3 linked regions of the Neurospora crassa OR74A genome follow. The main gene of each other region encodes a partner of the protein of the gene in region 3 in a complex. Links are inferred from orthologs where the notes say so. Each region holds a gene or a part of one and is shown on either strand. Other genes may lie near its edges.

Region 1 (3,169 bases), on a different chromosome or scaffold from region 3:
CAAGAAGAGGGGGGGGGGGGGGGTCAAGGGGGGCTGGTCATTACCTCTCATGTCCTTTTCGCGTTCGAAAACGACAAAAGCATAGCCACGATGGGGCTTTTTCTTCTTGTTTGGGTTCTCATCGGCGTGGGTATCTCTGATGATACGGATCTGTTTTTTGGTGTCAGTTCTTGTCAATTAACACACACATAGCTGTGAAATCATGATATAGGAGGAGGGGGGGTTTGCAAACTCACACGCTCGATAGGACCGTAGCGGCTAAACTCGCGCTCGAGATCCTGTTCATCAGCACGGTAGTCAAGACGCGCTACTATCAACGTCTTGAAAGCATCTCCTCTGATGTTGGGATCGTCATTAGGGTTGTCTACAGATAAACGCCATCGGTTAGCAAGCCGCACGACAGCAAGATCATGATCAAGTAAAGGAGTAGCGAGCACAACTGCGCGTAACGTTGGGGGTTTGCCGCGTACAATTCTTGGGACCCTCGGTCAACAGCTTCTCCAAAGCTTCCTTCTTCTCGCGCTTCTTGCGGTCGCGCGCCTCCAGCCAGCTCTCGGTGGGATGGTACTCGTATTCTTGCTCGTAGGCCTGCATGGCAGGAAGGAAGTCGGCAACGGGGGTGATGAAGGCCGACTTGCGCTCTTCGGGAGCAACATCGCAGGGCGGCACCCAGCGCAGAGGTGGCCGGGGCGCAAAGAGTGCGAGGAGGTTAGGCGGGAGCCGGTCTGTCATTGTCGCTTCACGTTGTCGCTGTTGTAGCTGGTCAAGTGGTGTTTTTTTGTTGATCTTATCTGTCGTCGAATTATGAAATCGATATGTCGGAAACCAGGAAATGTAGGTCGTCTGGCGTTTGATCCACTGTTCGGAAAGCCGGGCGAGAACAGTTCAATAAGGCTGAACGCTGTTACTGTTTGCCAATTCTTGTGATGGCGATAATGTGGTGTTGTCGGTTTGCGAGAAAGGTCAAACCCGCATTTTCGCGACTTTGCTTGGACAGCTGAAGACGAGAGACAGAGGGTGGGAGGCGGGAGCAGCAAAGGGCCCTGTCTGGTGTTGTGTCGTCCACTGCCTGGCAGCCTCGCAGCGACTGGAGCTCTTGCTGGGCAGCTTTCTCGCGCGCTCGACCACCGAACGACTGAGTGCGAAAGAGGGACCGTGCACCCTTAGGTCGTCTTCGTTATCACTACGCACACACCCAAGGAGGAGTGCAATCGCGTGAAATTGATTCTGCCAACCGCTTTTGCAGTTGGGCGGGTCCCCCACCCCCAGTGCCGTGCCGGCGCGCGACGGGGCGGGAGTCTGGCAGAAGTTCAAGTCGCACCCGCCCTCCGGATCATGAACCCTGGTGGACTCGGACTTGTTGCAAGGCGAGGACGGCGGCGAAGAAGAAGAAGAAGAAGAGCATCACAACAATGACGGTAAAAGCATTGACGCAGATCTCCTCTGCCGGCCGTGTAAGTTAGACCGCAGCCTGAGCAACTAAAAACTTTAATTTTCAGAAAAAAAAGAATGCTAATCGTTGATTGTTTTGTATCTAGAATGGCGTCGGCGCATTCGTCTTGCAGTGCAAGAAGTTGGACATCCACTACAGTGACTGGGCCGGCAGCTCCCGGGGCATGAAGTACGTTTAGGATTCTTCGAATATGGACATCGCAACCTCATTCCCGATCGAACATCTTTCACATATACCAATACCTCTACACGTCCAACCAAACCGACATCCTCCCAAGATCTCGAGACCATCCCGCCGTCCCCGACCATCCATCCATCCATCCATCCACCACTACATACCCTTTTTCTCGTCCCTCCTCGTCCCTCCTCGTCCCTCCTCGTCCCTCCTCGTCCCTCCTTATCCCTCCAGTCTCCCTTCGCGACCTCAGCAGACAGACTCTTTCACTAACACTTACTTCTTCCTCCATCTAGCGGCTTCATCAAATCCCTCCTCCCCAAATTCGCCGCCGCCAACCCGCAAATCGAGTTCGTCGTCTCTCCCCGGCCCGCCAAGCACCCGATCCTCATGGGCCACTACATCAACGGGCGCACCAAGGCCATTTGCGTGCGCAACATGGAGCCGCTCGAGATCCTCAAGAAGGCCGAGCTCCTCCGCGACGCGAGCGGCGAGAAGCCCCAGAAGTTCAAGAAGCCCGTCACCAGCACGAACCCCAGTGTCAGAGGTGTCTGGTCGCCTTACCATGGGCAGGGTATGGCTGTATAAAGCGGAAAAAGGGGGAGGAGCAGGTGCTGGTGCTGGTGCTGGAATGGACTGGATCGGTGCTGGGCTGGATTTGGTGCTCGGCCGGTGTTGGCTCGGTTCAGTACCAGGTGGATTGTATATACCATGTTGAATGTATGAATATGAATTGAGGACATGAAAAGGGTTTCTGGATGTATCAAGGGTTTCGGTTTGGCTATATGGTTGTGATCAAGTCCTTCCAGAGCTATCGAGTTCCCATGATGAGTTGCCCCAGTTCCAAAGAATCTGACATTATCTTCTGGTGCTTGGTGGTTGACTGTTGATATTGGAACTTGGGATGAACATCTAAGAGCGAATGGAGGAGCCGCGGAGTTGCGGTATCTGGTGTCACAGAAGTCATGAACGGGCTACATGAAGCGAAACTACGTTCTTCAATCCCAAATCGAACAAAATCAGGACATTTAACTATTTTATATTTTCGCCGTGTCCTCAACACCATTTCCCAGCCTATATGATTGCGGCTGTAGCAAAGCTATAACTTTTTATGGGCAAGTAATTTACAGGTTGGCGTTGATGATGTCCACGACTGCATCATATCATGTTAGCCATCTTTCTTCCTCTCGTTGCAACAATGGCAGGTAGTACTTACACTCGGGCTTCAAGCTGGCACCGCCAACAAGGAAACCGTCAATGTCCTGCTCCTTGGCAAGGTCCTTGCAGTTCTTGGCGTTGACAGAGCCACCGTAGAGGATGCGGGTCTCCTCAGCAACCTTGTCGCTGACGTTCTGCTTGAGCCAGCTGCGGATGGCGGCGTGCACCTCCTGGGCCTGCTCCTTGGTGGCGACGAGGCCGGTGCCAATGGCCCAGATGGGCTCGTACGCGATAACGACGTTCTTCCAGTCGTTGATCTCCTTGGCGAGAGCGGCGAGCTGGTTCTCGACGAACTTGATGGTCTCGCCGGCCTGGCGCGTGTCC
Region 2 (3,922 bases), on a different chromosome or scaffold from region 3:
GAGAAGGTGAGGCGCAAGGCTACGTATGCGCTTAGCAGTGCGGTGAGGAATTATCAGCCGGCTATGGATGTCGCGGCGGACGAGATGCATAAGCGCGGTCATGAGGTTTTGGTGAACAACGGGACCAAGGTGGATGCGGCGGATATGGATAAAGTGGATGAGGTTATTGACGTTTTGAGAAACAAGGCCAAGTCTGCTTAGAGCTGTCTAAGGGGATGAGTAGGTTGAGGGTTTGGGGTTCATGATGGGGATGACCAAATGAAAGGAAAATGGGACTGAAAAGATATGGTTTTGGTTTTGGCATTGGAAAAGGCGTTTGGTTTTTTTTGTTTGGAGATCCTTGGTTGATCAAGACGAATGGGTTCTGTTGTCATAATATCTTGACCTGTTCTGTGCAAAGCTAGACTGGGATATGGATATGTGGTTCTAGACTTGGGAGTTGTTTATGAAGCAGATACCCTTGACGATGTCCGTTTACACAATCCAGTTCACGCAATGATGACACCCTTCCAATTGTTTTACGCATTTGTGATTCTACTTCTTTGATCTTTGACCGTCAGACCCGGTGGTATTGTTCTTCTTCCGTTTCCTTTCCACTTCGTCTATAAGCCTCCTCCTCGTGATGTTGTTACAAAAGGTATATATACACCCAACATACATCGTCCTTATGTGGTTAGTGTATTCGTATTGTACAAGTTTCACACATCTCCTCATCCTCCTCAATTGTCATCCAACAACTATCATGATGCGAGATGTTGTTCATCATCTTCTCATCCCCCTTCCTTGAATCTCGTCCCTTTCTCAACCTCTCACGATCAACAGCCCGTTTGGCGCTTAGTTGCTGTAGAAAGGAACGCCGAGGGACTGGAGCAGAAGCTTAGCCTGCCTGTCGGAGGTGGCTGTCGTCTTGATGGCGATGTGGCAACCGGGAATCATCTTGGCGGGGTACATCTGGAGAGGATAGAAAGTCAGTAATCTGTCGTCAAGTCCAAGAAAACAAGAAGACGAAGCAGACGGTAGGGCCAAAGCCGGAGCCAGAGCCGGAACCAGAACCCTCCCTACTGTAGCTTCGGCTCCGGCTCCAACTCCAAACTTTTGTTCTCCTCCGTCCTCTCTTTCTCTTCCACCCATCATTTCCCAAGAAACAAACTCACATCATAGTTGCATTCCACCTCGGGAAAAAGCTGAACATCCTCCGGATTCAAACCAAACTGCACATTACCGCTTCCATCACCCGTACTCGCCGGCACGCCCTTCCAATCCTTGATCCGGGGGAGAACCAAATGGATCAACCGATCCATAAACTCCCACGCCGCGTTTCCGTAAATCGTCGTCTTGCAACCAGCCGGTTTGTTCGCCTGCAGCTGCCACTGCACCACGTTGTTCTTGGACCTCGTCATCTCCGGCATCGTCCCCGTCATGGCCAGCAGCACCGCCCGGGCCACAATCAACAAGTCCGGGTTCTTGAGACCGAGCGGCACGAAGGTGGAGACGGTGATTTCCTTGATCTCGGGGATGTTGCGGAACGAAATGTCGCGCTCGCGAATGGGAAGCTCGGGGGCACCGCGGGGCGCGCGGCGGGCACGGTTGGCGAAGTAGGGCGAGTCGCCCTCCCAGGCACGCAAGCGCTCCGTGGGTTCCTTTTTGGGCGTTCCCGGGGGTGTGTGGATGTAGGCCAGGGTCATGAGGTCCGAGGCCATGACGGTGCGGAAGGTTTCCTTGAGACGAGGCATGTTGAAGGGGCCGGGAACGAAGTCGCGGGCGATAGGGTCGGAGGAGGGAGGGGATTGGATGGGGTGGAGGGGGCCGCGGTTGTACTTGGGGGGGTGGTATTGGTATCTGTTCGGTAGGAGGTGAGGCATGGTGGTTAGCAACGTTTAAACATCTTGTTTATGGTTTGCGTATATGTATGTATATATACATGTGTGTGGCTAGCTATGTAAACCACGGGACGGAGGGAGAGTGTATAACGCACCTGCTGCTAGGCAACCTCGCCTTCCTGTCGGCCGCGCGCTTCCATGGCCTGAACTCCTTCTTGTCCTCTTCGCTGGGGATGGGAGCGTCCAATGCCGACCGTGTCTCAAGCTCGGCGAGGTCGGGAATGTTGGATTTGGGAGTAGCGGCAGCAGCGCCGGCACCAGTTTGTGTCGAGGCGCATCTTCGGACGGCGAACTGAGCAGAGAAAGGCTGAAGAGCGCGAGCCGATCGCGAGACCCCGCGGAGACTGGCCATGGTGAATTAGGATACCGAAAAAAGAAACCGGCGTTCGGGCGGACGCTCTGGTTTCGGAATTGGCGACCGTGGAGGTTGTCGCTTCGGAGTGGTGGTTGAGGAAGAGGGTCCGGCGCACGCGGGAAATCGGGGCCGAAGGTCTGTCACGGACGGGCAGAGGGCAGCGAGGTTCCTTCTCCGGCAAGCGCAAGGTCCTGGTCCCGCGTCGAGGCTCGAAGAGGTGCCGGTCCCCGTTGTGCCGCCCGCCGGAATTTTTTTTGGAGCCTCTGCGGAGTCTCGAACCGGGGCCAATGCTTGGCAGCACGGGCCAAAGCTGGATGAGTTTGGGGTTAGGGATATGAGTCTGTTACCCCTGAAAGCGTTCCTGGACCCCTGAGAATGCATCTGATGTGGTTGATGAACTCTAAATAAAGCATGGATTTGGAAATATATCACTATGTTTGTACCAATATAAGCGATTCAGATCAGGATTCCAACACATTAAGACGACATGTATGATTAGATTAGGAGACACTTGTATATGCGTACGCTTCCTTTGCTCGAAGTATCCTCCGAGCCACTAATAATTACATCATTCCGCGCACACCTTATCAGCATGTCTAGCAATAACAACAAAGTATGTAACGGGGAAGAAAGAGAAAACAGAAAAAACATCCAAGTATCATCATCACCGTCCAAGACTACGTCCCCATCGCCTCTCAATATTCTTCCGCCCAGAGCCGCTTCTTCTCACTTGTCCCACACCCCCATCACCATCCCATTTCAACTCATAATCAGACTCCCCATCTTTGCCCAAATTGGGTAACTTCACCTTCACCATCCCCTCGTTTCTCCTTTCTATACTCCTCCTAGCAGGAGAAGTAGTCCCAGCCGGCTGAATACTGTAAAGCAACAACCTTGAGCCAGCACCGCAGAACTCCGTCTTATCACCGACGCAGAACGACCTCTTGCACTCATACAGCTCTGACGCCGCCACCGCCGTGTCCGCGAGCGAATTGCCGCAGTAACACTCCTTGCCGAACTCCACGCCAAAGAGACTGTAGCCCCTCGACTGACAGCGTTCGTGGCACATCTCGACCGTCATGCTCGTGCTGTTGGTGTACGAGTGAGCTTTGAGAATACGAGCCGTTGAGTTGTCGATGAAGCAACCCTGTGGCGTCGCCAAGCGCCCGTTAACCACGGACGGGTTGACGAGCCGGGGCGTCACGTAGTTAGTTTGTCTGAAGACGTCCAGACGAGCGCGGCCACCGCAGCGTGTTGATGGGTCACCGGCGCAGGTGAGATTACAGCCAGTCTGGCCGAGGCTGTAGCCGGGCTTGAACTCGAGACCACAGTAGCATTGGGATTGGAACTCGAGGCCGGCGAGGGGGTAGTTTTGCTGGGCGCAGTAGTTAAGACATTTTTGAATGGTCATGCCGGCGCTGTCGTATAGGTAGGTGCCATTGAGCGCGCGAGCAGTAGGCGCGGCGGTGTTGGAGTCACTGGCACATCCTTGGTAGTCCCAGTTCACAACAGCAGGAATTGTAGGCGAGGCTGAGGCGATGTTCGTGGTGGAAGTAGTGGCAGCAGTGGCGATGGTCGTGGTGGCTTGAGTAGGGGCTGTAGTAGCAACGGCGGCGGCGGTTGTAGTAGTTGTACTAGTTGTAAACAAGACTGGGGTGGTGTTCGTAGTAGAACTAGTAGCGGTAGT
Region 3 (2,932 bases):
CAAGTGACCGTAACCTCTCCGACAATTCGGTATGATAGGTGAGGGCATCGAGAGACCTCGGCCTGTGCTTGTCAACAATAAGCGCCATCGTGGTGTGGTGATATTGTGGAGAGGAAAATGGGTTGACAACGGAAGGGGAAAGAAATGCTGGATTGGAGGTGCATGGGAGACGCGTCGAGTTGACGCGCCGTCCAGAAAATCAATTAACAGATGACGGGGGATGGCCGCACGGACCATATCACCCGCTTATACAGGCCCTGGGGTAGACAGTTGCCCACTTTCGCCATCAGTATTCTAGGCAGCTATCTTGAATCTCTTTGAGTTTTGCAACGTCCGATGCTGGATATTGGATCTTCCATGAACCGACATCTAGTATAGGGCCCATTTCATGGCATGGTTGAAAGGGTATATCTAGGAAGCCAGCATTGCTTGTTGACTCGATGTGGTGCTCTGGCCCATCCAGGTAAACTGGTAGTAGCTTACGGACACATTCTCAGAGCATTGAAATCAAAGTGGTGATGCTTGTTACGTCGTCATAATAATCATGAAATGGCCATGGCAACACTCTTTTGCACATTGGCCCTTCTGTTGTTCTACATAGTGTTACAATTAGAATAGGCTCAGGGTTCTCCACCTCTACGAAGGAGGAGCAGCAGTGCTTGATGTGCTCGCAGCACTCTGGGTAATCTCTGGCATCAACAACTTCTTCCTTGGGTTCTTGAGGTCCTCCACCGTGAGGCCATCCTCCAACTTGGTGATGCCAACCACTGGTGGGTCACCCTTCTTCACAAACTCGTACAGACCTATGACTTGTCAGTTTTCTACTCTTCTCAACCTCGCAAAGATTTTGGGCCAGCATGTGCTGTTATTACCTGGAAGCTTGTGTCCGGCCAAACGGAAGGCATCACGGATGACCTGTTCGTGCAATTGCCCCCTGATCTCGAAGATAATCTGGTTGACGGCAACTCTGGTCGCCCAGTGGTCGAACGAACCCTTACCCTTACCCATACGCATCTACACCGGAAATGCATGTGAGCCTCATGTCCGCTAACAGTCGGCATCCGGCCTTCCCGGGCTGTGGGTTGTTCAGCTGCTCACCTCGTTACCGCTGACGTACACACCGACGTTACAAGCAACGCGCTTGTACAGGCGGTACTTCTGACCACGCAACCTCTGCTTGATGGTGTCCTCGGCGAGCTTGAGCTGTTGGGCGCTAATTCTGCGGTGGTGATCGCGCATGCGCAGGCCGTAATCTCCCCAAACCACTGTTGTTCCTTTGGTCGAACCACCCGTCGGCACTCTGGGCCTTCCCTTCATCATCTTCTTCTTTCTGTTGAGGTTGGGCTCGAGCCACGAACCAGCCTGGATGGCGGTCGCAGAGAATAGGCGGACATGGGAGGCGACGGAAACGGGGGTCGGCGCAATGGGGCGACGGACGGCAGAGGTTGCGAGCGACGCGGCACGGAAGGGAGTCGCCGACGAGGATATCCTAAGGCCCTGGAAGGCGCTGAGGAGCGCCGAGGAAGCGTTGTGCTTCATTGTGTTGAAGGTTTGGGTGTGGACCGGACCGGGGAGGGGACGAGTGGTGGACGGAGGACGGAGGGAGGGTCCAATTGGATGCCGGTCGCCGACGACGATTGATACGGATTCCCCGAAGCAGCGCGCGCACAGAGACGGGGACCGGGCAGAGCGACTACCTGCAATGGAAGGTGCTGCGGGCGCGGACGGGGCACGGACGGCACTTCCAAAAATTGTGACCCACCAAAAAGTGTCGGGTGCCGGCCGCGACATGGAATCTGCCGGACACAGCAGACAAGCGGGACCTGGGACTCATTCATTGACTCCTCACAAGAAATACAGCTGCGTGGGCGTAGCTCAAGGCAGCAAGTTGGCGAATTCTTGTAGGACAAGGCCCCACCAGTCGCGACAGGGGAGCAGAGCCCGGACACAGACTCGCGTCATCCACTTCACCTTCGCGTCTCACTCATCATTCAATTGTTACTTCCGTCTTTACAAGGGACAAGAGTCGACCCGTTAGCTCTTTACCCTTCTAGGCCTTTTGTTCAACAACACTTGTTAGGCAGAAGGACAGCTGCCTGGACAACTCAGACACCAAGAACAAAAGTCCCTACTTCCCAACTCCGCCACTATAAGAAGATGCTTGCTGGTGTCATCTGATTGTTACATCTTCCCAACCTTTTGACACATTCAATTTATCATTTTGTATCCAGTGATTTCTTCTCACATACTCCATCATGCCTGCCGACATTCGCTCGTTTTTTGGTCCAAAAGGTGGCGCGCCGCCTGCTAAGCCGGCAACACCAGCACCCAAGAAGGAAGAGGAGAAGAAGACCCGGGGTAGTAAGCTTGAACCATGATCGCCATCACAAGCTTATCACGTTATATTAACAATCTTGTCGCAGGGCCAAGAAAGGTTGTTGAGGACAGCGAAGATGACGAGGTTGTTGAGTAAGCTTAGTGAAAAGCATCTCTTCTCAGAACTAGCATCTAACCAGCATGTGTAGAGTCAAAAAGCCAACCAAGGCTGCGCCAAAGAAGAAAGTAGCGTAAGTGTTTATGAAACACCTCTCAGTTCCATGTCATCCTATTCCTGCTGACAGACTATCTAGGGAACCCGTAAAAGGAGTTGAAACCGATGCTGCCAAGTACTTTGCAACCTCAAAAACAAAAACTGCTGCTGCGTCCCAGTCAACACCGAAAAAGACACCCGCAAAACCCGAGCCAGAAGAACCAAAAGTAGCGCTTCGAACAAGCCCGCGGAAGAAAGCCACCCCCGCTGCCAAAGCACCAGAGCCTCCCAAGACTACTACAAAGAAGACCTCGACTACGAAGAAACCCACGACGGCCTACAAGAGTTACGACAAGGATGACGATGGCGATGCCTACATGGATGATGAGCACGATGCTGGAG

The links.
Region 1: NCU06768 (region 3) and NCU07549 share a complex: the UniProt entries of both Schizosaccharomyces pombe proteins name them as parts of the mitochondrial large ribosomal subunit. The link is inferred for Neurospora crassa OR74A from reciprocal best matches to the Schizosaccharomyces pombe genes mrpl16 and mrpl51.
Region 2: NCU06768 (region 3) and NCU04171 share a complex: the UniProt entries of both Schizosaccharomyces pombe proteins name them as parts of the mitochondrial large ribosomal subunit. The link is inferred for Neurospora crassa OR74A from reciprocal best matches to the Schizosaccharomyces pombe genes mrpl16 and mrpl7.

Annotation. Positions count from the first base shown.
Region 1 is NC_026503.1:4,406,053-4,409,221, reverse strand, and holds NCU07549 (mitochondrial 54S ribosomal protein MRPL51), read left to right. Parts: upstream 1-1,231; 5' UTR 1,232-1,412; coding exon 1,413-1,454; intron 1,455-1,538; coding exon 1,539-1,621; intron 1,622-1,923; coding exon 1,924-2,215; 3' UTR 2,216-2,667; downstream 2,668-3,169. Other genes in the region: NCU07548 (hypothetical protein), read right to left, coding at 45-150, 237-364, 471-732; NCU07550 (triosephosphate isomerase), read right to left, coding at 2,752-2,780, 2,844-3,169. UniProt on the Schizosaccharomyces pombe protein: Component of the mitochondrial ribosome (mitoribosome), a dedicated translation machinery responsible for the synthesis of mitochondrial genome-encoded proteins, including at least some of the essential transmembrane subunits of the mitochondrial respiratory chain.
Region 2 is NC_026505.1:5,079,209-5,083,130, reverse strand, and holds NCU04171 (mitochondrial 54S ribosomal protein YmL7/YmL5), read right to left. Parts: upstream 2,508-3,922; 5' UTR 2,233-2,507; coding exon 1,976-2,232; intron 1,840-1,975; coding exon 1,155-1,839; intron 952-1,154; coding exon 835-951; 3' UTR 503-834; downstream 1-502. Other genes in the region: NCU04172 (hsp70-like protein), read left to right, coding at 1-201; NCU04170 (hypothetical protein), read right to left, coding at 2,900-3,922. UniProt on the Schizosaccharomyces pombe protein: Component of the mitochondrial ribosome (mitoribosome), a dedicated translation machinery responsible for the synthesis of mitochondrial genome-encoded proteins, including at least some of the essential transmembrane subunits of the mitochondrial respiratory chain.
Region 3 is NC_026502.1:2,003,426-2,006,357, forward strand, and holds NCU06768 (mitochondrial 54S ribosomal protein YmL47), read right to left. Parts: upstream 1,776-2,932; 5' UTR 1,540-1,775; coding exon 1,099-1,539; intron 1,015-1,098; coding exon 873-1,014; intron 804-872; coding exon 637-803; 3' UTR 502-636; downstream 1-501. Other genes in the region: NCU06769 (activator 1 38 kDa subunit), read right to left, coding at 2-88; NCU06767 (replication factor C subunit 1), read left to right, coding at 2,256-2,361, 2,424-2,469, 2,526-2,567, 2,631-2,932. UniProt on the Schizosaccharomyces pombe protein: Component of the mitochondrial ribosome (mitoribosome), a dedicated translation machinery responsible for the synthesis of mitochondrial genome-encoded proteins, including at least some of the essential transmembrane subunits of the mitochondrial respiratory chain.